Mus musculus: one gene and its partner. The protein of the gene in region 1 purifies or fractionates together with the protein of each later gene. This does not show direct contact. Links are inferred from orthologs where the notes say so. Each region holds a gene or a part of one and is shown in the gene's direction. Other genes may lie near its edges.

Evidence for each region. Proteins that work in one complex are often made in the same cells at the same time.
Region 2: the proteins of Rab11a (region 1) and Wdr44 purify together in Homo sapiens (affinity purification with mass spectrometry; 3 studies listed by BioGRID and IntAct, counting the BioPlex papers as one, with this or other methods). This does not show direct contact. The link is inferred for Mus musculus from reciprocal best matches to the Homo sapiens genes RAB11A and WDR44.

Annotation. Positions count from the first base shown.
Region 1 is NC_000075.6:64,720,764-64,731,924, reverse strand, and holds part of Rab11a (ras-related protein Rab-11A), read left to right. Parts: intron 1-3,495; coding exon 3,496-3,691; intron 3,692-5,107; coding exon 5,108-5,301; intron 5,302-6,342; coding exon 6,343-6,423; intron 6,424-11,161. UniProt on the Homo sapiens protein: The small GTPases Rab are key regulators of intracellular membrane trafficking, from the formation of transport vesicles to their fusion with membranes.
Region 2 is NC_000086.7:23,789,848-23,801,008, forward strand, and holds part of Wdr44 (WD repeat-containing protein 44), read left to right. Parts: intron 1-6,136; coding exon 6,137-6,259; intron 6,260-10,522; coding exon 10,523-10,714; intron 10,715-10,886; coding exon 10,887-10,988; intron 10,989-11,161. UniProt on the Homo sapiens protein: Downstream effector for Rab11 which regulates Rab11 intracellular membrane trafficking functions such as endocytic recycling, intracellular ciliogenesis and protein export.

The DNA of each region.
Region 1 (11,161 bases):
ATACCTCAAGTGATTGCTGATGCTAGTGTGTGACCAGAAGTGATTGAAAGGAGATTTCCTCAGCAGATTATCCAGTCTTCTTCCTCTCCAAATCATATTTATTTATTTAAGGTTTTTTTTTTTCTTTTTTGGGAGGTGGGGGGCTCATGCCATGGTGTTTATGGATAGAAGTCTAAGACAATTGAAGGGATGGATTTTCTTTCTACTGTGTGGGTCCATGGGATTGAACTCAGGTCTTTAAGTTTGGCAGTAATTGCCTCTACCAGTGAACCGTCTTTCAGGCCTAAGTTTCTGTATTCTTGTTGTGACTGAGGATTTCTATTCAGGAAAGGTGAAGGAAGTTTTGGGAGAAGCCCAGACTAGGTTCTTGGCTGGGACCCTCTCCCTGTTCCCACCCAGGAGTTGTGATCTGACCATTTAACCTCCTATACTAAGAATGAACAGTGAATGTATCTCAATAAGGAGGCGCTATTAATGTTGCTGGGATTCAACTTCACATCTACAGTAGTGGAGTTTGGAAACCAGCCTACTAATCTGTTTTCATGACCTTGACATCATTTTCCCTGGTATCCAGTAAAAGTATTTAATGTCTGTTTGCTAGTGTACTCTCTGACTACAAAGACAGAATTATCTTCTTTGTTACATGGAGTCACTGCTGCTGGGATTTCTTGCTGAATCAGCTGATACAGGAAGCCAGAAAGATATGCATTTGATAATGCATGGTTGTTCTAGGGCGAGCTGTGTGTACTTCTGTAACAAGAAAGGTGTACTCTCTTTTCCTTTGGCTGGAGTGCAGTCAGCCTCCTTTCTGCGTGCACCATCAAATCCCAATCTTTTGAGTAAAACATGGCTTATTAGTCTGTGACCTTAACCCTGCTGTTGATTTTTCTAGTCTGATGCCTAAATCAATTAGCTACATAAAAAGTATTACTAGTCAACAGTAGAAATAAATACAGTGTTCACTAAAATACCTACAAAAATTTATGCAGGGAAAAAAATGTTAGCTGGCTTAGATTCTGTAAACCTCCAACCCCATTTTGATCTTTAAATTTATGTTTTAACCCAACTTATCTGAAGTTGGGCACAATGACACACACCTATAATCTTAGCATTCAGGAAGCTGAAGTAAGAGAGTTTTGTGCGTTCTAGACCAACCTGGGTTCCAAATTGAGACCCTCCCTTAAAACAAACAACTTGTTTTTCAGTTTCCTGTCTCGACCAACTTACCCCCATCCCCTCTCCTTGAGAGACAGTGTTTCTCTGTGTAGCTCTACTTCTCTTGGATCTCATTCCTGTAGACCACACTGGCCTCAAACTCAGAGATCCACCTGCCTCTGCCTCCCAAGAGCTAGGATTAAAGGTGTGTGCCACTGGCTCTGTTTCTTGTTGTTGTTCTGTTTTGATACTGGATCTCACTTTGTAGCTCTTATTGGCCTAGAACTCTGTGTAGACCAAATTGGCCTTGAACCCTGAAAGATCTGCCAACCTCTGCCTTCTAAAAGTACACTATGAAGTACACTTCTAAAAGAAGTACACCATGGCTGACTCTGAAAATTTTAATGTGTGTGGGTGATTTGGTCTACAGTAATGTCTGTTAACTACTTGTATGTAGTACAGGCAGAGGCCAGAAAGGGACATCAGATTCTGGAACTGAATTACAAACTGTTGTCTGGAGTTAAAGTATTGAAAGCTACCTCTGGGTACAAGGACTCAAACCTGGGTCCTTAGAAGAATAACCAGTGTTCATAACCATTGAGCCATCTCTCCAGCCCATGAAATTCCCCCTCCCTTTTTAAAAATTTTCTTAATTGCATTGATTGGAACTGGAGAGGTGACTTAGTGGTTAAGAACTGGCTGCTCTTAGAGAGGACCCAGTTCAGTTTCCAGCACCTATATTTGGCTGTTCACTACTGTCTGTAACTCCAGCTCTCTTCTCTTCTGGCTCATATACATAGCATTCGTACTCATGTTTATAAACATGGAAAATTATATTCATTCACTTGTGTGAGCTCTGTAGTAGTATATATTTAATCTCAGTTGTGGGTTTCTACCCTGCCTTAGATCATTTAATTCCCAGATAAAAGACACAAAATTTTTATATTTATAATAAGCCTTTAATGAACTAGAGCTGGTCAGATATCTACCCTCTATGCTATTAAAATCTACTTCCCTGTCAATAACCTTGAGTTAAAACTTGTCATGTTCCACCTGGGCAGCTCTTAACTCCAATTGGTCAGCTCTTGTGGTCATGTTTTCATGACTCACCTATCCCGTGGCATGTTCTCTCTCCTAATTGTCTCTCCTCAGACCCCAAGCCTTGGGGCATCTTTATTCACCAATCAGGAATAACTTGGGTGGCAAGGTTATATAGCATCGCTTGGGTCTACACCTCATCCCTAAGGGCAACCAGGACCAGTATTTAGTATTATAATACATAGCAATAGACCAAACCTCAGCTGAGTTCTGTGCACAAGTGGAGTGTATGCGTCCCAGAGATGGATCTCTGTTCCTCAGGTTTGGAGGCAAGTGCCTTTATTTGCTAAGTCATCTCACCAGCTCTATTTGAAGAGTTTCAAAGTAGAGTAACACTTGAGATGAGAAGTTACTTGTAAATAAACTGCCATCTTTTATAAAAACCACAGGAAGCAGGTATAATCAAAATTTGTTTTGAAAAAAAAAAAAAACTTTTTAAAGTCCTAAGTCAAAGTGTTTGTCTTCCTTGCTTTGGCTTTGACTCAGTGTGTCAGAATTGTTAACTTCCTAGGGCTCCTGTTTGTAGTAAGGTTGGGCGCCCTCGTGCTTTCTGCCAGTCTGAACTGTAACTATTAAAGATGATTGTAGTTTCTATGAGCAGAGCAGCAAAGCTTGTAAGCCTCGTGCCTCCTGTTTTAAATGTGTTTCAGCTCTCTATCACCCCCAGTCTTTCATGACAGTAGTAGAACACACACACTTTCCTACTCCATGCGCTGACATCTTTTGTTTGATGTCTAACACATGAAAATCACAAGTCGATATTTACTTTTCAGAATGCTTTCTAAGGTAGTGAGGTTGGTATAAGTTAAAGGTAATTGGTGTTTGAATTGATGACTACAGTATTCTATGATTAAAATTGCAAAATTGCATTTTTAAGGGCTGGGGATATAGCTCAGTTGTCAGTTGTTTAGCTACCTTACATGAGTAGGGCACTGGGTGTGAGTTCCTAAATAGGAATAAAAGAGGGGGATGTTTTTTAGATGGGGTGCTATATCTGATCTGTGCTAAGTAGATGATGTGCGAAAGTCATTATGCAGACAGAAATAGATTACTAAGAGTAAGTGATTGGTTTAAATTGATTAGTCATGGATGTAAACTATTCAGTACTATGCTTCTGTCTCTTTAAAAATCCTTGGTTGTATTTATTTTGAAGCCAAACATCCTCCTGTTAAGTATGCTGGTATTTTGAATGTGTGTGCCTTCATCCAGCTTATACTATTTATTTATTTTTTGTCTTTTTAGTTGTCCTTATTGGAGATTCTGGTGTTGGAAAGAGTAACCTCCTGTCTCGATTTACTCGAAATGAGTTTAATCTGGAAAGCAAGAGTACCATTGGAGTAGAGTTTGCAACAAGAAGCATCCAGGTTGATGGGAAAACAATAAAGGCACAGATATGGGACACAGCAGGGCAGGAGCGGTACAGGGCTATAACGTCTGCGTAAGTTCATGGTTTTCAGTTCTGGAATAGGTTGGTATCAAGTGAATTGCTGAGTTTAGGTACTGGGAAGAAACGGTAGTCCTCCCTTAACCTTGCAAGATGTTCCAAGACCTTCCTTCAATGCCTACAACCACAGATTGTACTAAACCCTCTGTTTCTCTCTCTTAAAATTCATCTTATTTTTATTCATGTTTTGCCTGTATATGTGTATGTGTACCATGTTCATGCTTAGTACACATGGAGGTAAGAAGATGGTATCCGATCCATTGAAAGTATAGTTACAAATGGTTGTGAACCACTGTGTAGATGCTAGAAAACAAACCTGGGTCCTCTACAGCAGCAGCAAGTACTCTCAACTGCTGAGCCATCTTTCCAGCATCTTGTATCTTTTCTCTTAATAGACCCTTTTTTCTTTGTCATGTCATAATTGCTTTGGGGGGCTATTATTAAATAAACTAAGGGTTACTTGAACACAGAAAAGACCATAAATAATGGCAGAGCTACAAAGTGACTTTAACAGGCAGGTAGTTTATATAGTGTGTGGGTACATTGGACAAAAGAATGAATCATGTGCTGGCCTGGATGAAGGGGAAAACTGAGGAGTTTGTCATGATACTTAAAATGGTGGCAATTTAAAGCTTATGAATTATTTATTATTATTTCCCATTTAATATTTTTGGCCTGTGGATGACTAGGTATAAAACCTCATATAAGGGATGACTACTATCTGCCATATCTGGTGTGTGTGTGTGTGTGTGTGTGTGTGTGTGTGTGTGTGTACGTACCTGGTCTCACTTTGTAGCATGGTACTCATTATGTAGCCCAGGCAGGCCTCAGACCTCCAGCACCCAGGACAGTTATGTGGCACCACCCCTCATGTGATAACTAGGAATTTTCAGAAATTTATTTACAAGTTTGTATTATTGTTTTTAAAAATCTCTTTGTGTGTGTGTTTGTGTGTGTCCCTGAGGATGAGCATATGAGAGAATGTAGAGGGTGTTTGTGTTAGTGTGTATGTCTGTGTATTCTTGCTGTGTAGATAGAGGTCAGAGGACAGACAACCTTGGATGTTGGTCCTCACACTTGTGAGGTCCTACCTTGTTTGAGATAGGCAGTATTTGTTGTTCAGTGCTGTTTATGCCAGGATACCTGGCCTGAGAACGTCTGGGATTCTCCTGTTTCAGCCCCCAACTCCCTTATATCACAGTAGGAGGACCAGGATTGCTGAGTGCTACCATGTCAGCTTTTTCATGGATTCTGGGGATTTTTAACACCCAAGCAGATCTTCATGCTGGATGGCAAGTGTTTCCGCCACAGAGCCATCTCTCTAGCCCTATACCATCACCTTTTGTGTTCTTTCTGGTATTCATTTCTACTTTTTGATTGTCTTCTGATAGTTATATGTTTCTGTTGCAGATACTATCGTGGAGCAGTAGGTGCCTTATTGGTTTATGACATTGCTAAGCATCTCACATATGAAAATGTAGAGCGATGGCTGAAAGAACTGAGAGATCATGCTGATAGTAACATTGTTATCATGCTTGTGGGCAATAAGAGTGATTTACGTCATCTCAGGGCAGTTCCTACAGATGAAGCAAGAGCTTTTGCAGGTTAGTGATATAAACTCCACAGTATTACAGTGCTTCTGCATTTCTGTTTGAACATTACACCTCTCTTCTTTAGCAATGTTCTATGTGAGTCTGAAAAGTAGTATGTCAAGGAGTGTCGAAGACTGACAAGGATGCTTAGAAGTTGAGCACTTTGCGCTTCATATAGGATCTGCTTATTTCTAGCTGCCCTTCTGGTAGGGGAAACTACCAGAAGAAAGCAGCGCTGCATCTGCTAAGAAGTCATGATGTTGTATTAGTGAAAGGATTGTGAGTATTTTCCTCTAACTTAAAATTTTCAAATTGAATAGACTTCTAAGTGAGTGTGTTTTTAGCTATATAGTTGCTAGGGAGGATGGTTAGGGGTGGAAATAGTGGGACGTTTGATAAGTTAACTAAATTCTGAATAGTCTCACTCATTGTTATTGGTGGTATTTATATGCAGAAGTAATTACAAGGGAGCGAAAATTTCTTACTGTTACTTTTAACTTACTGAAGTAAAAGTAAAATATTGTCTATATATTACGCCAGAAGTTGGTACCATTTAGAGGTTTTTGTTTGGTAGTTTGAAATACTTTCTCATGTATCTTTCAGATAGTCTCATGACTATCTGAAGAATAGTCTCAGGCTGGTCTTGAATTCTTGGCCATGCTGAACTAAGTCTTAGTCTTTTATCTTCCCTTTTGTGATTGTAAGCTTATCACATCTTCTGTTTTAAAACTTGGAGAAAGCCGGGCAGTGGTGGTGCATGCCTTTAATACCAGCCCTCTGGAGGCAGAGGCAGGCAGATTTCTGTAAATTCCAGGCCAGTCTAATATACAAAGGAGTTTTAGGACAGCCAAGGCTACACAAAGAAATCCTGTCTTGAAAAGCCAAAAAACCAACAACTACCACCAAAAAACACCTTATGGAAAGTTGGGGAGGTAGGTCTGTGGTAGAGGGCTTGGCTGGCATTGGGGAGGCCCTGGATTAGATCACCAATCACCAACACTATTAAACAGCAATCAAAATTTACCAGACTGAAAATTTTGTTTCTTTTTACAGAGAAGAATGGTTTGTCATTCATTGAGACATCTGCTCTAGATTCTACAAATGTTGAAGCTGCTTTTCAGACAATTCTAACAGGTGAGACCTGTGTTTTCGGTTACACCAATGGGAACTGGAGTTTTAGGAAGTGAGTTAAACTAATTAGGAAATTGTTATGCCACCTGAAAATGACTATCATTAGAGAGCAACTGTAGTATAAATTCCTTGATGTGTAGAGTTACAGTTTTTGCAGGTTGCACTTCAGTCATGTGAATTCATCTGGGGAAAAATTCTTTGAAAGTAATTTGTTCATTTCCTTGTGTTCAGGCAATGTAGTCTATACCTCATAGTCAAAGGGACAGTTACATGTTCTTATGTATGTTCTTCTCTTTTTAAAATGCACTTTCATTACGTAAATACTGAGATCCTGACTATAGAAAGATATAAATGCCTTTTGAAGTTAGAAATTGGCTGGAGAGGTGGCTTGGCATTTAAGGGTACCTTCCGTTCTTCCCAAGCACCCGAGTTTTGTTCCCAGCACCCATGCGGGGTGGCTCACAACTGCCTATAGCTCTAGCTTCAGAGGATCCCAACGCTGGTACCAGTACACATGTGACAGACACACATGCACACACAAAAAAATCTTAAAAAAAGAAATTTGAAAAGCCTAGGGAAATTACATCAAAAGTTTTAAGTGAAAAGAAGAAAGCACAGATAGTTGTTCTGAGTTAACAGGAGTGTGCTCCTTGCAAAGACAGTCAGCCCAGCCTGCATATGGAAAGGGTTAAATGAGTACAAGGAACCGACAAAGTTCATGCTGTTTTGGAATGTGAGTAACCAGGTCAGCTTCTTGAAAAAGAAGACATTTTATTTCTTCAGACTCATATTTACTTTGGTTTTATTAGAATAACCAAATTATAAGTACATTTAATCTATTAAGAAGCACTTTCATAGATTGTTTTTCAATAGACCTAAATTATGTGTTACTTTTAAGAACTTATGAATTAGAATCTAATCAACACAAAGTAGAGTCTTATGTGGTGTTCTGATAAATTGTTATATAGAATTGTTTAGTTTCCTATTGTAATGTAATAAGTTTTAATGCTGTATGTAGCACTTATATTAGAGATGACCAGAATTTTAACTCTTAAAGTATTCTTTTATTGTTTAAAAGAAAAGTGTGTGTAATAAGCCTAGGGATTTAGATCATGAAGTGGAAAGCCTGATTCTTCCACTTATTTTTGGAGCTATAATCTTGAGCAAGTTACTTACTCTTTCAAAGGCTTTAATTTCTTCATCTGTAAAATTTGGATATATGTTGGGTTGGAGAAATGGCTCAGCAGTTGGGAGTACATATTTTTCTAGAGGACTGGAGTTTGATTCCCAGTACTTATGCCAGACTGCTTATAACCACCTGTAGCTCCAGCTCCAGGGGATCTAACACCCTCTTCTGGCATCTACATATACATGAGAACAAACACATAGATATACACATAATATAAAATAAACAGAGTTTCTCATACATTTTGGTTAGTTACTGTTTTCTTCGTGAAAGAACTTGTACTTTTAAATTACAGGAGTATGGTTTGATACGGCATGATTTAATTTGTTATTGCTAGTTAGGGGCTTTGTTGTTGTTTTGTTTGTTTTATCTTTATTCCACAGAAAAGAGTGCTCTGTCACTGATACTTTAGTAGTTCCCAAAAATATATGAGTTAATGCCTGTCAAGGGCTTAGCTCTTCCTGGGACATAGCAAACATTTGATAAATCAGTATTTAAGTAGTAATTAAGGAAAAACAACATGTTAAAATACATAGAAAAAAACCAATTTTTAAAAATAATATAAATATTGGTGATTTGCATGTACTTTATTAAAAACTTTTTTTTTTTTGTTTGATTTGTGTCTTAGTTGGGGTTTCTATTGCTGCAATGTAACATTGCGGCCAAAAAGCAAGTTGGAGAGGAAAAGTTTTATTTAGCGTACACTTCCAGATCATAGTCCATCATTGGAGGAAGTCAGGGCAGGAACTCGGGGGTTGGAACCTAGAGCCAGGAGCTGAGGAGGGCTTCTGCTTGCTGGCTTGCTTCACTTAGCTTACTTAGCCTGCTAAGTTATAGAACCCAGGACCACCAGCCCAGGGATGGCACCACCCACAATAGGCTGGGCCTTCCCCCATTGATCACTAATTGAGAAAATGCCTTACAGATGGATCTCATAGAGGCATTTTTCTCAACTGAGGCTCCTTCCTTTGATTATTCTAGCTTGTGTTAAGTTGGCACACAAAACCAGCCAATACACGTTAGCTTTGTTTTGTTTTGTTTTGTTTTGTTTTGAGATAGGGTTTTTCTGTGTATTCCTGGCTGTCCTGTAACTTGCTCTGTAGACCAGGCTGGCCTGGAACTCAGAGATCTATCTGCCTCTGCCTCTGGAATGCTGAGATTAAAGGCATGCACCACCATTGTCAGCATAAAATTGTTTTTGTTAACTGAAGAATAGTCACTACGGCTGGAGGGGAATAGACAGCTTGTGGCACTGGCAGCTTTTTTAAAAGATTTTTTCTGAGTGATCTCGCTGCAGATAGTTTTAAGCTTGCAATATTTTGTTGAATATACAGTATGCCTACAAGTCCTACTTTCTTTTTGTTTTCCACTGTGTAGGGTAGGCCAGGCTTGAGCATTCAGGGACCCACCTGCCCCTGCTTTGGGAGTGCTGAGAAGAAAAGCATGTGCTACTATACCTGGCCTAATTTTTAATCTTTTTAAAATCACATTTTTTTATTCATTTATATAAGGTATGGGGTTATAGTATTTATAGTGTGGTAGCCAAAGGACAGCGCCTTTTAGCATGTGGGTCATGGGGCAAGTACTCAGGTCATCAGGCCTGGTGGCAGCTTCCTTTGTTCATGGAGCTAAAATGTAAGATTATTGGAAATATTGTGCAGTAGATCCACACTTTGTTCATATCTGAGTAGTCTGATTTGTCTGGTGGTGCTTTTAAAAGTAGTTCACTAGTAGCAAGGTGGGCTGATGGGTTGCTTCAGTCCTGCCTTCCAGTGCAGCTTTGTTTTTTCCATCTCAAGTTCACCAGGAGTTGTGTCGGGGAGGGGCAAACTGTTAGGGATCCAACTCTGTCTTTTCTTAATCTTTTTTTTTTAAAGATTTATTTTATGCATGAGTACACCACCATTGCTGTCTTCAGACACACCAGAAGAGGGTGTCAGACCCTATTACAGATGATTGTGAGCCACCGTGTTGTTGCTGGGAATTGAACTCAGGACCTCTGGAAGAGTAGTTGGTGCTCTTAACCACTGAGCCATCTCTCCAGCCACTGACTATGTCTTGAGCATGTCAGGCAAGCTCTATCCCAGCTGAGTTTCATCCCTAAGAGATGTTTTTAATCACTGTTTTCCATGCCTCTTTTCATTTTAACTTTGTATTTTGGCAATTTCAGAGTTGATTAAATCTTACAGTAATAATATAAAGAATTTGTGAGAACCTTAACACCCCATTTCCTTAAGTATTAGTGTCTTTTTTCTGTCCATTTACCTTTCCCTTCCCAACAAAGACACACACACACACACACACACACACACACACACAGTGTCACACACACACACTATATGCAAATGCAAGTAAGTACTCTGCATACTACCCTTATCCCTAAGTCTTTTGTTGTTGTTGTTGCTTATTTACTAGAAACAAGTACTTTCTCTTTTATAACCATAACACAGTGATTTAAATCAATAGTATAATAATAGCACATCAGTCTTTAGCTACAAATCTTACTCAGATTTTGCCAGTAATTTCAATTAATAATAAGAAGGAAAAAGCCTGGAATCATAGCATATGTGCTATTTAGCTGTCTTGTCACTGCTTGACAATAGTTCCTTTAATTTTTCCTTTTTCATCATCCTTAGTATTTTTAAGAGATCTAGGTCAGCTGTCATTTCTCAGATTGAGTTTTATCCAGTGTTTCCTTGTGATTAAATGCAGGTGTATAGCTTGTGGCCTGAATGCCATAAAGGTGGTTCAACTCATCATACAAGAGGCTCATGATGTGTTTGTCTTAGCCACTGGTACTTCTAACTTTGAACTTTAGTTCAGGTGCTTTTAGCCAGATTTCTCCATGTAATTAGTAAATTCGAGGTAAATTTCTAAATTGAAGACTAAACTCTTAATTCTATGGCTGAGATAATTTTAATTAAGGTAACACACTGGTTCTTTAAAGCCAGTTTGGTGGTACACACACATCTGTTAATCCTGGTACTTGGTGGACTGTATGTGCCCGGACCATATAACAAGACCCTGTCTCAAAATAAATAAAAACAAAGGCGCTAAAGTTGCCAGGTATTAACTTCATAAGAATATGGAGAATTATTAGAAGTTTTAATATTACATTTTAACTTGTTTCTGTTGCATGCATGTGTATATGTATGTGGGCACAGAGTGGAGGACAGAGGACAAATGCAGAAGGTAGTTCTTACTGTCTACCACGTGGGTCCCAGGGATGAAAGAAACATGGGTCGCTTTACTCACTGAACTGTCTTGCCAGCCGAGTTTGAGACTGTTTTCACTAGGGGTAATAGTATCTTGGGTCTCACTTGCTGCAGAAAATGTGGCACTATCTCAAATGGGAATCTTTTTGACCTTCAAGAGATGTACATGATGAACAGGAGGTTTGAAAAGGTGAATAAATAAGAAGCTTTTGTAGAGACTGGCATGGATTACTAGGCTACTAGGTTTTAAAAACTTTGGAGAAACTAAAGATTTTTAAATTTTTATTTTGTGTATATAGACTTGTATATGTAAGTGTACCACATGCCTGAGGAGATCTGA
Region 2 (11,161 bases), on another chromosome or scaffold:
TCTATGTCTAACAGTTTTTATGTTTTAGTTGACACATGACAATTATACATATTAATGAAGTCTACCATGATAATTCTACATGCATATATAATATGAAATGATAAAAAAATCAGGTAATTGACATCTACCTCCTTGGAGATTTACCATTTTGTATTTGGAACCTTCAGACTCCTCTTTTCTAGTACTTTAAATTACAGATTCCATCCTGTACTGTGGAATATTAGAACTTATTTCTCTTAACTAATTTCATTTTAGTGCAAAACTAAACAGACTCAGGAGGGTGTGTGTGTGTGTGTGTGTGTGTGTGTGATAAAAAATAGTCAATGAAATGAGACCATCAACTCTAGAGAGTAAGACAGGACATGGAAGGGTTGGAGGGAAAGAACATGGGAGGATTTGGAGAGAGGAAAGTAACAGGGGAAGTGATGTAATTTTATTTTAATTAAAATAAAATAATAAAGTGAGACCCTATACACATCTGCCTTCTAGGTAGTTTGTATTCCATATTCACCCAAAACATATCTGTTGTTTACTTATCCACCTAGCTAAGAGCACAACTCTGGGTTCAGATACCTAGGATTCATATTCTATCTCCTTTGCTCCTTAAAGTTTCTGGGATCTTTGGCCACCTTCCTTTTTATTATTATTATTAGATATTTTCTTTATTTACATTTCAAATGTTATCTCCTTTCCTAATTTCCCCTCCAAAATATTCCATCCCCTGCCCCCACCCCCACTCCCCAACCTACCTACTCCCACTTCCTGGCCCTGGCATTCCCTTATACTGGGGTATAGAACCTTCACAGGACCAAGGGCCTTTCCTCCCATTGATGATGACTGACTAGGCCATCCTCTGCTACATATGCAGCTAGAGCTATGAGTCCCACCATGTGTTTTCTTTGATTAGTGGTTTAGTTCCAGGGAGCTCTGGGGGGTACTGGTTAGTTCATATTGTTGTTCCTCCTATGGGCCTGCAAAACCTTCAGATCCTTGGGTACTTTCTCTAGCTCCTTCATTGGGGACCCTGCCCTCAGTCCAATGGATGGCTGTGAGCATCCACTTCTGTATGTGTCAGGCACTGGAAGAGCCTCTCAGGAGACCACTATATCAGGTTTCTGTCAGTAAGCTCTTGTTAGCATCCAAAAAAGTTTGGTGGTTGTATATGGGATGAATCCCCAGGTGGGGCAGTCATGGTCATTCCTCCAGTCTCTGATTCACACTTTGTGTTTGTAACTCTGTCCATGGGTATTTTGTTCCCCCTTCTAAGAAGGACCGAAGTAGTCACTTTGGTCTTCCTTCTTCTTGAGTTTTTTGTGTTTTCCGAATTGTATTTTGGGTATTCCAAGCTTCCATGCTAGTATCCACTTATCACTGAGTACATACCATGTGTGTTCTTTTGTGACTGGGTTACCTCACTCAGGATGATATTTTCTAGTTCCAACCATTTGTCTATGAATTTCATGAAGTCGTTTTTAATAGCTATGTAGTACTTCATTGTGTAAATGTACCACATTTTCTGTATTCATTCCTCTGTTGAGGGACATCTGGGTTCTTTCCAGTTCTGGCTATTATAAATAAGGCTGCTATGAACATAGTGGACCATGTGTCCTTATTACATGTTGGAGCATCTTCTGGGTATATGCCCAGGAGTGGTATTGCTGGATCTTCCGGTAGTACTATGTCCAATTTTCTGAGGAACCTTTGGCCATCTTTCTTAACTATACCATACCTAACCTGCAAAATAGCCATAACAAAAGTAGTTTCTTTGTAGAGTTAGAAGGAAAGACTGCGTGAGTACAAAGCACTTACCTAGGGCTAGAGAGATGCCTCAGCAGTTAAGAGCATTTGCTGCTTTTGCAGAGGACCTGCATTCCCATCACCACATGGTGGCTCACAACCACTTGTTCTTACAGATTCAGGGGATTCAACAGGCTCTTCTTGCCTCCATGGGTACCAGGTAGGCATGCAGTGCTCATACATTCATACCAGCAAAATACTCCTACACATAAAATAAATTCTTTTTAAAACACATCTACTTATCACACATTAAATGTTCAACTAACATTATCTGTGAGTAGGGCTAGTTTCCAACATCTGCATAGGACAGTTTACAGTTGCCTATGACTTTAGCTCCAAAGGGGTACCTCTTTTCTCCTACACTCACTCTCTCACACACACACACACACACACACACACACACACACACATACACAGTTAAAAATAAAGAATTAAAAACATGATCTATGAATGTGGCAGGTACTGAGGACAGCAAGTTTAAGTATTTTACATGTGTTCTTTGTGTTCAGTTGTTCAGTCAAAACATGTGAAGTTCCTAATATTCATCAAGGATTTGAAAAAGAAGATTTATATGCATTAAGGAACATGCTGACTTGCATCTAGCTAAGGAGTGGGAAGGACAATTTACAGTCTCATGTCTTCAGACCAGTATTCTCTATCCAATCCCCATGTCATAATAATAGTTCATCACCCTATAAGAGCTAGCACATAAAATTTCACAATGCTGAATACATTGCAAAGATTTAAGAAATCATAAATTCTTCCTTTCCTGCATTCTTTACAAATTTTGTAAGTCACAAAAGTATATTTAGTATCAGTCTATTTGCCTTATAATTGGTGATAGTTTGTAAGCTGGGACTTCCTGATTCTTTATATTATGCATACTAGTCATAAAAAGATAAAAAAAAAAGAGTATAATGCTTTGAAATTTTTTGTGGATGTTATTCACATTAATATGTGTATGTGTGTTTGTGTGCGTGTGTGTGCGTGTGTACGCGCGCCATATGCTCTCCTTAAATACATAAATACAGTCAGCTCAATATAATTTTACTTGTATGCTATGCTTTCTGTGCGTACTACTTGTTATTGAATAACTATTGTTATTGGTGTGCTTTTTTCTGGGAAAATCCTAACTTCTACTGTATTAATTACTTTCCTGTTGTTGTGAAGAAACACTATAACCAAGGAAAGTTAAAAAATAAAGCATTTAATTGTGGTCTTGCTTATAGTTTCAGAGAATGAGTCCATGATTATCATGGCAGCAGGCAGGAATAGAGAGGAGAACTGGGAATGGCATGAGCTTTTGAAACCTGATCCTCCTCTCCTCAGTGACATAGCTTTTTCAACAAAGCCACACCTCCTAATCCTTCCCAAACAATTTCACCAATTCTGGACCAGGAATTCAAATATTTGAACCTATAGGTTCCATTATTAGTCAAGCCACCAAAGATTTGTAGATCATAGATTCAAGAAGATTGTAAACCACTGAAGGATAGGATAGGGATCAAGACTTATTTTACTGTTATTTCTCTTCAGTGTCCATCAGAATCTGTTTGTAGTGAGCTTTCAACTTTCTAAGTACTTGTTTTAGGCACCTAACACAGTATTACATCATACAGTAAAAGTTTCATTTAGTAATGGTTCTTTCATTGTACAGATGAGAGCTCTGACTTCCATGATCCATCTAAGGATTATAAAACTAGTTATATTCAGAACTTCAGTTTGAATATACTTTATGTGACTCGAAAGTTCAATGCTTAGATTAAGAAATTATTTCAGGACTGGAGAAATGACTCAGCAGTTAATAACACTGGTGCTCTTCCCAAGGACCTAGATTCAATTCCTAGCACCCACATGATGCCTCACAAATATATGTTATAATTCCAGGGGATCCAGCACCCTCTTCTGACCTCTATAGGCACCACATATGCTTTTCATACACAGACATATATGCAGACAAAACACCCATTCACATAAAAAAATTAAAGAAATTAATTTCATTTAGTAAGAATGTATTAAACAAAAACTCTTGGCATAGTAAAATAGAATTGAACATGTGTTTAGCACTTTATACTTTAAGAATATAATCATCATATGCCCCAGTACAAGGGAATGCCAGGGCCAGGAAGCGGGAGTGGGTGGGGTGGGCAGCAGGGCAGGGGGAGAATATAGGCGACTTTCGCGATAGCATTTGAAATGTAAATGAGGAAAATATCTAATAATAAAAAGAATATATTCATATATTTCATATGCTTGAAGCAAGCACTGAATAAAGCCAAATTTTATTTTATTGAGCTTCTTTGGTTGGTTAGTTGACTTATTTGAGTGCTACCTCTGCTACTGAGCTATACACCTCAGCTCTAAAGAAGGGCAGTATTAAAGAGCATTGGGCCATAGGTTTAATGCCATTAATCAACGGAAAATTATGGTATAAACTTTATATGCTCATTAAAACTTTTCTGGAACAGGGTAATCTCTGAAAAATAATGATTATATTCCTCTCAGTGTCTATTAAAATGCTTCCAAATTCTGTCCCTCTTTTTCTCCTCTTTATTTCCGGATATTGGCAGTCAAACCTAGAGCCTTACAAGTTTTCTACCACTGATCTATTAACCCTAACAACCAGATTATTATTTCTTTTACAAAACAGAATCAAAACTTGTAACACAATGGTCTCAACCTTACAATGTTATAGCCTTTGCATCACAGATGATAAGATTAAAATTATTAGGTACCATGTGTGGCTCCAAAACTCTATATTTTAATAATAAGGTATAATATGTGTTTAAAAAATAGGTATTTTAAGTGTGTTTTGTAAAATAGCTCATATAGTTACATAGCTAAATCAGTATTTGCAATAAGTCTTTTTGGCTTATTTTATGATTTTGCAAATAGAGTCTCTTGTAGACAGGGTATCCTAAAACTTACTATGTAGCTAAGGATGTCTTTGAACTCCTGATTCTCCTGCCTCCACATCCCAAAGATTACAGCTATGAGCTGCCACACAGATAATGATTAAGTGTTCTTAATTAGTTTGTGCACATGACAAAGCATTTTAGTGCTTTTCTGTACTATGCAAAACATGGTTCTAGCCTAGAGTCAGACCACCTGCTCTTGAACCCGAGCTCTACCACTGACAGGTTGTGTAATCTTAGATCACTTATTTAAATGTTCTGAGCCTCAATATTATCATTTGTCAAAAAGGAAGATAATAGTATGTTTACTTCACAGAATTGTGTATAGTGCTAAGAACAAAACCTTTAGCAAATTGTATATACTCAATAAGTGTTATTACAACCTTGATTTGTTTGTCATATTTAGAAAAAAATTCTAGAGTCCCTTTGACTTTCCTCATTCCATGTAATATATAGTTCTCCCTTTAAATATTTGAGGTTTAGAAGTTATTGAGACTTTGCTAACCAGAAGCTTTTGATGGGTAGATGTTTGGTTTCAGGATAATTGAGCAAATACAATGCCTAAATCAGTTATGCTAACTCTTCTAGCTCAGAAAGCTCTGTGATGTATTCTGAGAAATTTGATATTTCCTATTCTCTAACTTTCTTGCCTAGAATCTGACAGGAGCACAATAACTTTTTATTTCTATGCTGTATTACAGAGTAATCTTTTAGAAGATATTAGGATCCATAGAATTCATCAGTGTTTTAACTGTAAAAAATAACTAAACTTAAATGATCAAGTTAATATCATATATTCATGGTTAAGCTTAAATATGTACAGGTTATACACCTAAGATACTCCTTAATCCTCTGCTAGTGCCTGACATTTTCTGTCATACATTTTAAGATTCATAGTATGCAGCAAGTAATGCTAAAATGTCTCAGAGTCAGTGAAATACATAAGACAATAATTTGAAAAAATTATTGTTTCAAATGAATTGAAATAGCCATGTTCTTTTTGAGACTTCATATCACAATAACATATATAAAGCTGAAAACTGCAAAAATAATTTTAAGCCTAGTTCAATTTTATTGTGTGAGTCATGTTTTCTTTTTTATTATTATTTTTATTTTTATTAGGTATTTTCTTCATTTACATTTCCGATGCTATCCCAAAAGTCCCCCATACCCTCCCCCATACTCCCCTATCCACCCACTCCCACTTCTTGGCCCTGGTGTTCCCCTGTACTGAGGCATATAAAGTTTGCAAGACCAAGGGGCCTCTCTTTCCACTGATGGCTGACTGGGCCATCTTCTGCTACATATGCAGCTAGAGACAAGAGCTCCGGGGGAGGGGGGGTACTGGTTTGTTCATATTGTTGTTCCATCTATATGTTTTCATATATACAGTAATAAAGTAACTGATATCATTTTTTCCATAGAACTACTTTCTGCTCTCTTCTTCTATGGATAAAACAGTCAGGTTATGGCACATTTCTAGAAGAGAATGCCTTTGCTGTTTTCAACATATAGATTTTGTCACTGCCATCGCTTTCCATCCAAGAGTAAGTAATCAGTTATCCACTCTTTGTTATGCTAAAAGGGAGATGAAGGAACTTGATTTCTATGAAGAACAGTTGAAACTATAGAATAAAAAAAGAACATTAGTAGCCACATAATTAAGAACAACTTAAATTAGTATTCCATTTTTCTTTAAAAATGGGAAAAGGGACTGGATGTTGTAGCACAAGCATTTATTCTCTGCACTGAGGAGGCTGAGGCATTTGGCTCTCTGAGTTTGAAGCCAGCCTAGTCAATATAGGAAGTTTAAAAGATCCAGAACTACCTTGAGAAAGCCTGTTTCAAAATATGGGAAAAGGGGCTGAGAGTATAGCTTAGGAGAATAATTACTTAACAAAAAGGAAGTCTTGGGTTCAATTGTAAGCGTTACAAAAACTGGTTTTGGTAACATATGGCTGTATTCACGGTTCTAGGAAGGTAGTAATTAAAGGATCAGAAGTTTAAGATCACTCTTGACAACAAAATGAGTTTGAGGCCAGTATAGGGTATAGAAGACCCTGTCAATCAACCATTCAGTGATTGAACAAGAAATATTCTCATAATTTGCATTACATGTGGGGGATTATGCTCTAAATGTAGTAAAAAGTTATCTCAAATCCTTAATAACACATGAAATATAAATAAATCATACTACTAAAGGTAAGAAATATTGGAGAGAGGAAAATAGCAGCTAAATATGGTACTGCATGCCTATAATCTCAGCTCTCTTGAAACTAAGTCAGAAGGCTCACTAGTTTGAGGATAGGCTGGACTGCAAGGCAAGACATGGTCTCTAAAAGGAGGAAGTGGTAGGTGTAAGAGAGTAAAGGTGCATACATAGGTGAGAACTGGGGAAAGGAAAGGTTGAGGAAGGAGAGTCCAAAAGACTGAAATGAGTAACAACCAAATTTCACTATATGATATCCCGATATTAATCATACTTTGTTAGTATGATTATTTTGTGCATATGTGTATGTATGTTTGGTTGTATGCATATATATGCACATGGAGGTGTATTTGCCATGTTTTTACTTGTGGAAGCTATAATCAACATTGGGTTATCTTCCTCTATCATACTCTAGCTTATTTTTAATAACCAATGAAAGTTTTATAATTTTATGTATATGGGAATTTTGCATGTATATCTGTTTACCATATGTGTGCCTGATAACATCTAAAGCCAGAGAGTGTGTCAGGTCCTTTGGATCTGGGGTTATAGATGCTAGTGATCCATGATGTGCATGCTGATAATTAAATCTTTGTCCTCTGATAGAGCTGCCAGTGGTCCTAACTGCTGCCACATCTCTAAGCTTTCTACCTTATTTTTTGTGAGTCTTGCTCACTGAACCTGGACGTCACTCTTCAGGCTAGACTTGCTAGCCAGCGAGCTCTCCAAAATCCCCTTGTTTTGTCCACTGACCCAGCACTTGGTTACAGATTTGAGCTGCCACACCCAGTATTTATATAGGTCCTGGGGGTCAGAACTCAGGTCCTCCTGCTTTGGTAGCAAGCATTTTACCCAAACAAGCCATCTCCCCAGCTTCTTAGTAACCTTAATCTTATTGTTTGTTTATTTTCTTTGAGATCAGGACTCTTGCTCTGGCTCACATCAAAATCTTGGTTTCAAGTGCTCATCTCAAGGCCTCAGCCCTTTGAGTAGTTAAGGCAGCATACATGTGTTGCTGATCCTAACTCACACTGTTGATCCTTTTTATTCATTCTTCAATCCTGCCATATCTACCCTTCCAAACAAAGTACTTCACTGGGTTTGAGAGTACTTGCTTGGAATTCCAGTAATCATTAGGTTGAGGCAGCATGATTAAGAATATGAGGCCTGACTGGTTTCCATTGTAAGTTTCAGAGTAATATGGACTATATAATGAAACTTGGTCTTGAAGCAAATAAAAAAAAACAGCAATTAATTTTATTTCATCAAAAGGTGAAAATACATGATATTATAGATGTCTTATGCCTTTATGGTATAGAGTCATAAATGTTTAAATCTCAATTAGTTTTGTTTTTCTGCAAATGGATGCACAAGGAAAAATATTCATTGATGCCACCATTACTGCCAGATTAAAATAAGTGGAGGACTTGAGCTGGGTCTAAATTGACTTTCTCTCTCATAGTCTGATGAGTGACTACCTTTTCAGTCAGATTGTCCATCCCTGTGTGTTTAATACCCATTATCTTTTTTAGTGCAACATTCAGTCATTTATGCATTCCTTTTTTTCTTCCGTCAAATTAGGAGAAATGTCTAACTTTTCCCCCTCAATATTGTGACAGTCCCTTGTCAAGCCTATATAATATAGGTAGTAATAATTCTAAGCTCTTAAAAGACTTAAGAAGACTTAATAATTAAAAATGTATAATCTGTGTTTGTACCTTATTAGTTTTGACCATCAAGCTAGTAAACTGTTCTTTCTAAATAGGGTGTTTATCCTTTCCGTTAAAGATAAAGACGGATGGACCTTAGTCATAGCACTAACTGACGGAAATCTCTCCACCTACTGAAGTAGCAGTAGAGAAAGGAAACACTAGCTTGTAATAGTCTTCTATATAGTATATTATTGAGGTCTCTCTCCAGTCAATTATTTTTTATAATTTTCTTTGAAAACCTAAAACTATAGTTCAAAAACCTCCACTGGTGTGAGGAGGTTTTTACGGGGACTAGGGAAGGAGAGAGCCATGTCAACATTTACTAGATAATGTGATTCTACTGCAGTGTTACCTGGAAAGAAAGTAGCAAAGTTGTAAACAAACGAAAAAAAAAATGAATTACTTAAATTGATAGGTAGATTGGAGACACAAGCTGATATTTAAATAAAATTTAAAATCTGAAGTCCAAAATAAAATACTTTTCACTTATTCAGCTTTTCTCATAGTTGCTAAGTATAATTTACTAAACCATAGCATCAAAATTGTCCATCACATAATATATATTATCAATAAAAGGCTTCAGTACTGATTGAGAAAAATTTCTTATATGAAGAAAGTATCCTGATTTTTAACATGTAATCCTTGTGTTTATGTGAGTGGTGGCTATAATATGTATGTGTACCCTCTCACCTTAGTTTTTGAGACTAGGTTTCTCACTGAACCTGAAGCTCAGCAATTTTGCTAGACTGGTTGGCCAGGTTGTTTTAGGGATCTTGCTATCTCTGCCACAGTACTAAAGTTACACATGTGTGCCATTATCATATACGTGGGTGCTGGGGATCCAAAGTCAAGTCCTCACACTTTACCAACTGAGTTCTCCCCCCATCCCCTACTATGCATTCATCACATTACCAACTGAGTGTTAAAACTAATTTAATTAAATTTAATTAAAATTAACTTAATTAAGTTTAATTAGTTAAGACTAAATCATCACGTTAACCCAGCTGAGTGTTAAGACTAGTTTACTCTGCAGAGGATCTTTCAACCTTGACTCTGTTGACATTCTTTGCTGTTGGATGAGCAATGAATGTTCTGTCTGTATATTGGAGCACTTTTATTTACATGGTAGAATCCTCCTGTAAACCAGACTATGGCAATCAAGAAACTCTGCTGACTTTGCAGTATGCCCAGCATGGGAGCAGTTCCTCAAGACATAGAGCTCTTGGTCTGCAATTCAGTATCAGAGTTCCTAAAAAGCAGGTTCAGTACATTGTGACTGGTGTTAGCCTTGTATCCCTGTGTTACACATGCTATGGAAACAAAAGCATACCCCCAAAAAGTTTAGGGTATTAAGGAAAGTTAATAAGGAAGGAAATTAGAAAGTTGCCACCCACTCTATCTCCCTTTTAGAGATTCAAAATACAGATCAACTGAGAATCCTGTTTTTAAGTTTTTGCACTCCAAATTTTCTTAAACTTAATTTATTGTAGACATTATTTCATGTGATGCTTAATAAAACAATTATATTAACATTCATATCTTAGAAAAGCAGTTTGAAAATATGATGAAATAGTTCAATGTCTTTTTTTTTAACATGAAAGATGGCATGTGTAATTGTTGTAATTTTTAGTACACAAAATGATGCTAGCTGAAAGACTAAAATGTTGTGGCTACATGCAAATGTATCTCACTGAGAGCACTTGCTTTCATGTGTGAGGCCACGACTTGACTCCCTAGTATGCAGCCTTCAAAATGAAAAGAAAATAACAGCAACAAAGACTTTTCGAATAAGATTTCCTTGTAGAACATTGGTTTTAATCACTTGATGTGTTAATTAGCTAAATTTTCCCTGATGTGACAATAAAAGCATTTTCTTGCCACCTTTTTAGGATGACAGATATTTTCTCAGTGGATCATTGGATGGAAAGCTCCGCCTATGGAACATACCTGACAAAAAGGTGGCTTTATGGAATGAAGTAGATGGTCAGACAAAGTTGATCACAGCTGCCAATTTTTGTCAGAATGGCAAATATGCAGTAATTGGGACATATGATGGTAGATGTATTTTCTATGATACAGAGGTAAGACCCTTTAGGTTTTATAAAATTTATTTATATCCTATTTATACCATCTGGAGACTTTAATTGCTTTATCTGTAAAATCAGGCAAAAATGCTAATATCTGAGGCTCAGAACAAATGATCTTTGAGGTTTCTTCTAATTCTGGTATTTTTAATTTATTATTTTGCTTTAGCATTTGAAATACCATACACAAATACATGTACGATCTACTAGAGGACGCAACAAGGTTGGAAGAAAAATTACTGGCATTGAACCTTTACCTGGAGAAAATAAGGTACCATATAGTATTCCAAACCATCTCTCTCCACACTGGTATGGATTTTTGAAAGTTAGTTTTAAAACTGGGAAGAAAATGGGGGTAATATTGCTGTTTGTAGTTCTGATATTTACTTGATTTGTGTATAACATCCTTTTGGTGTTATGGCTTAATTTACACTAAAAAGTGAT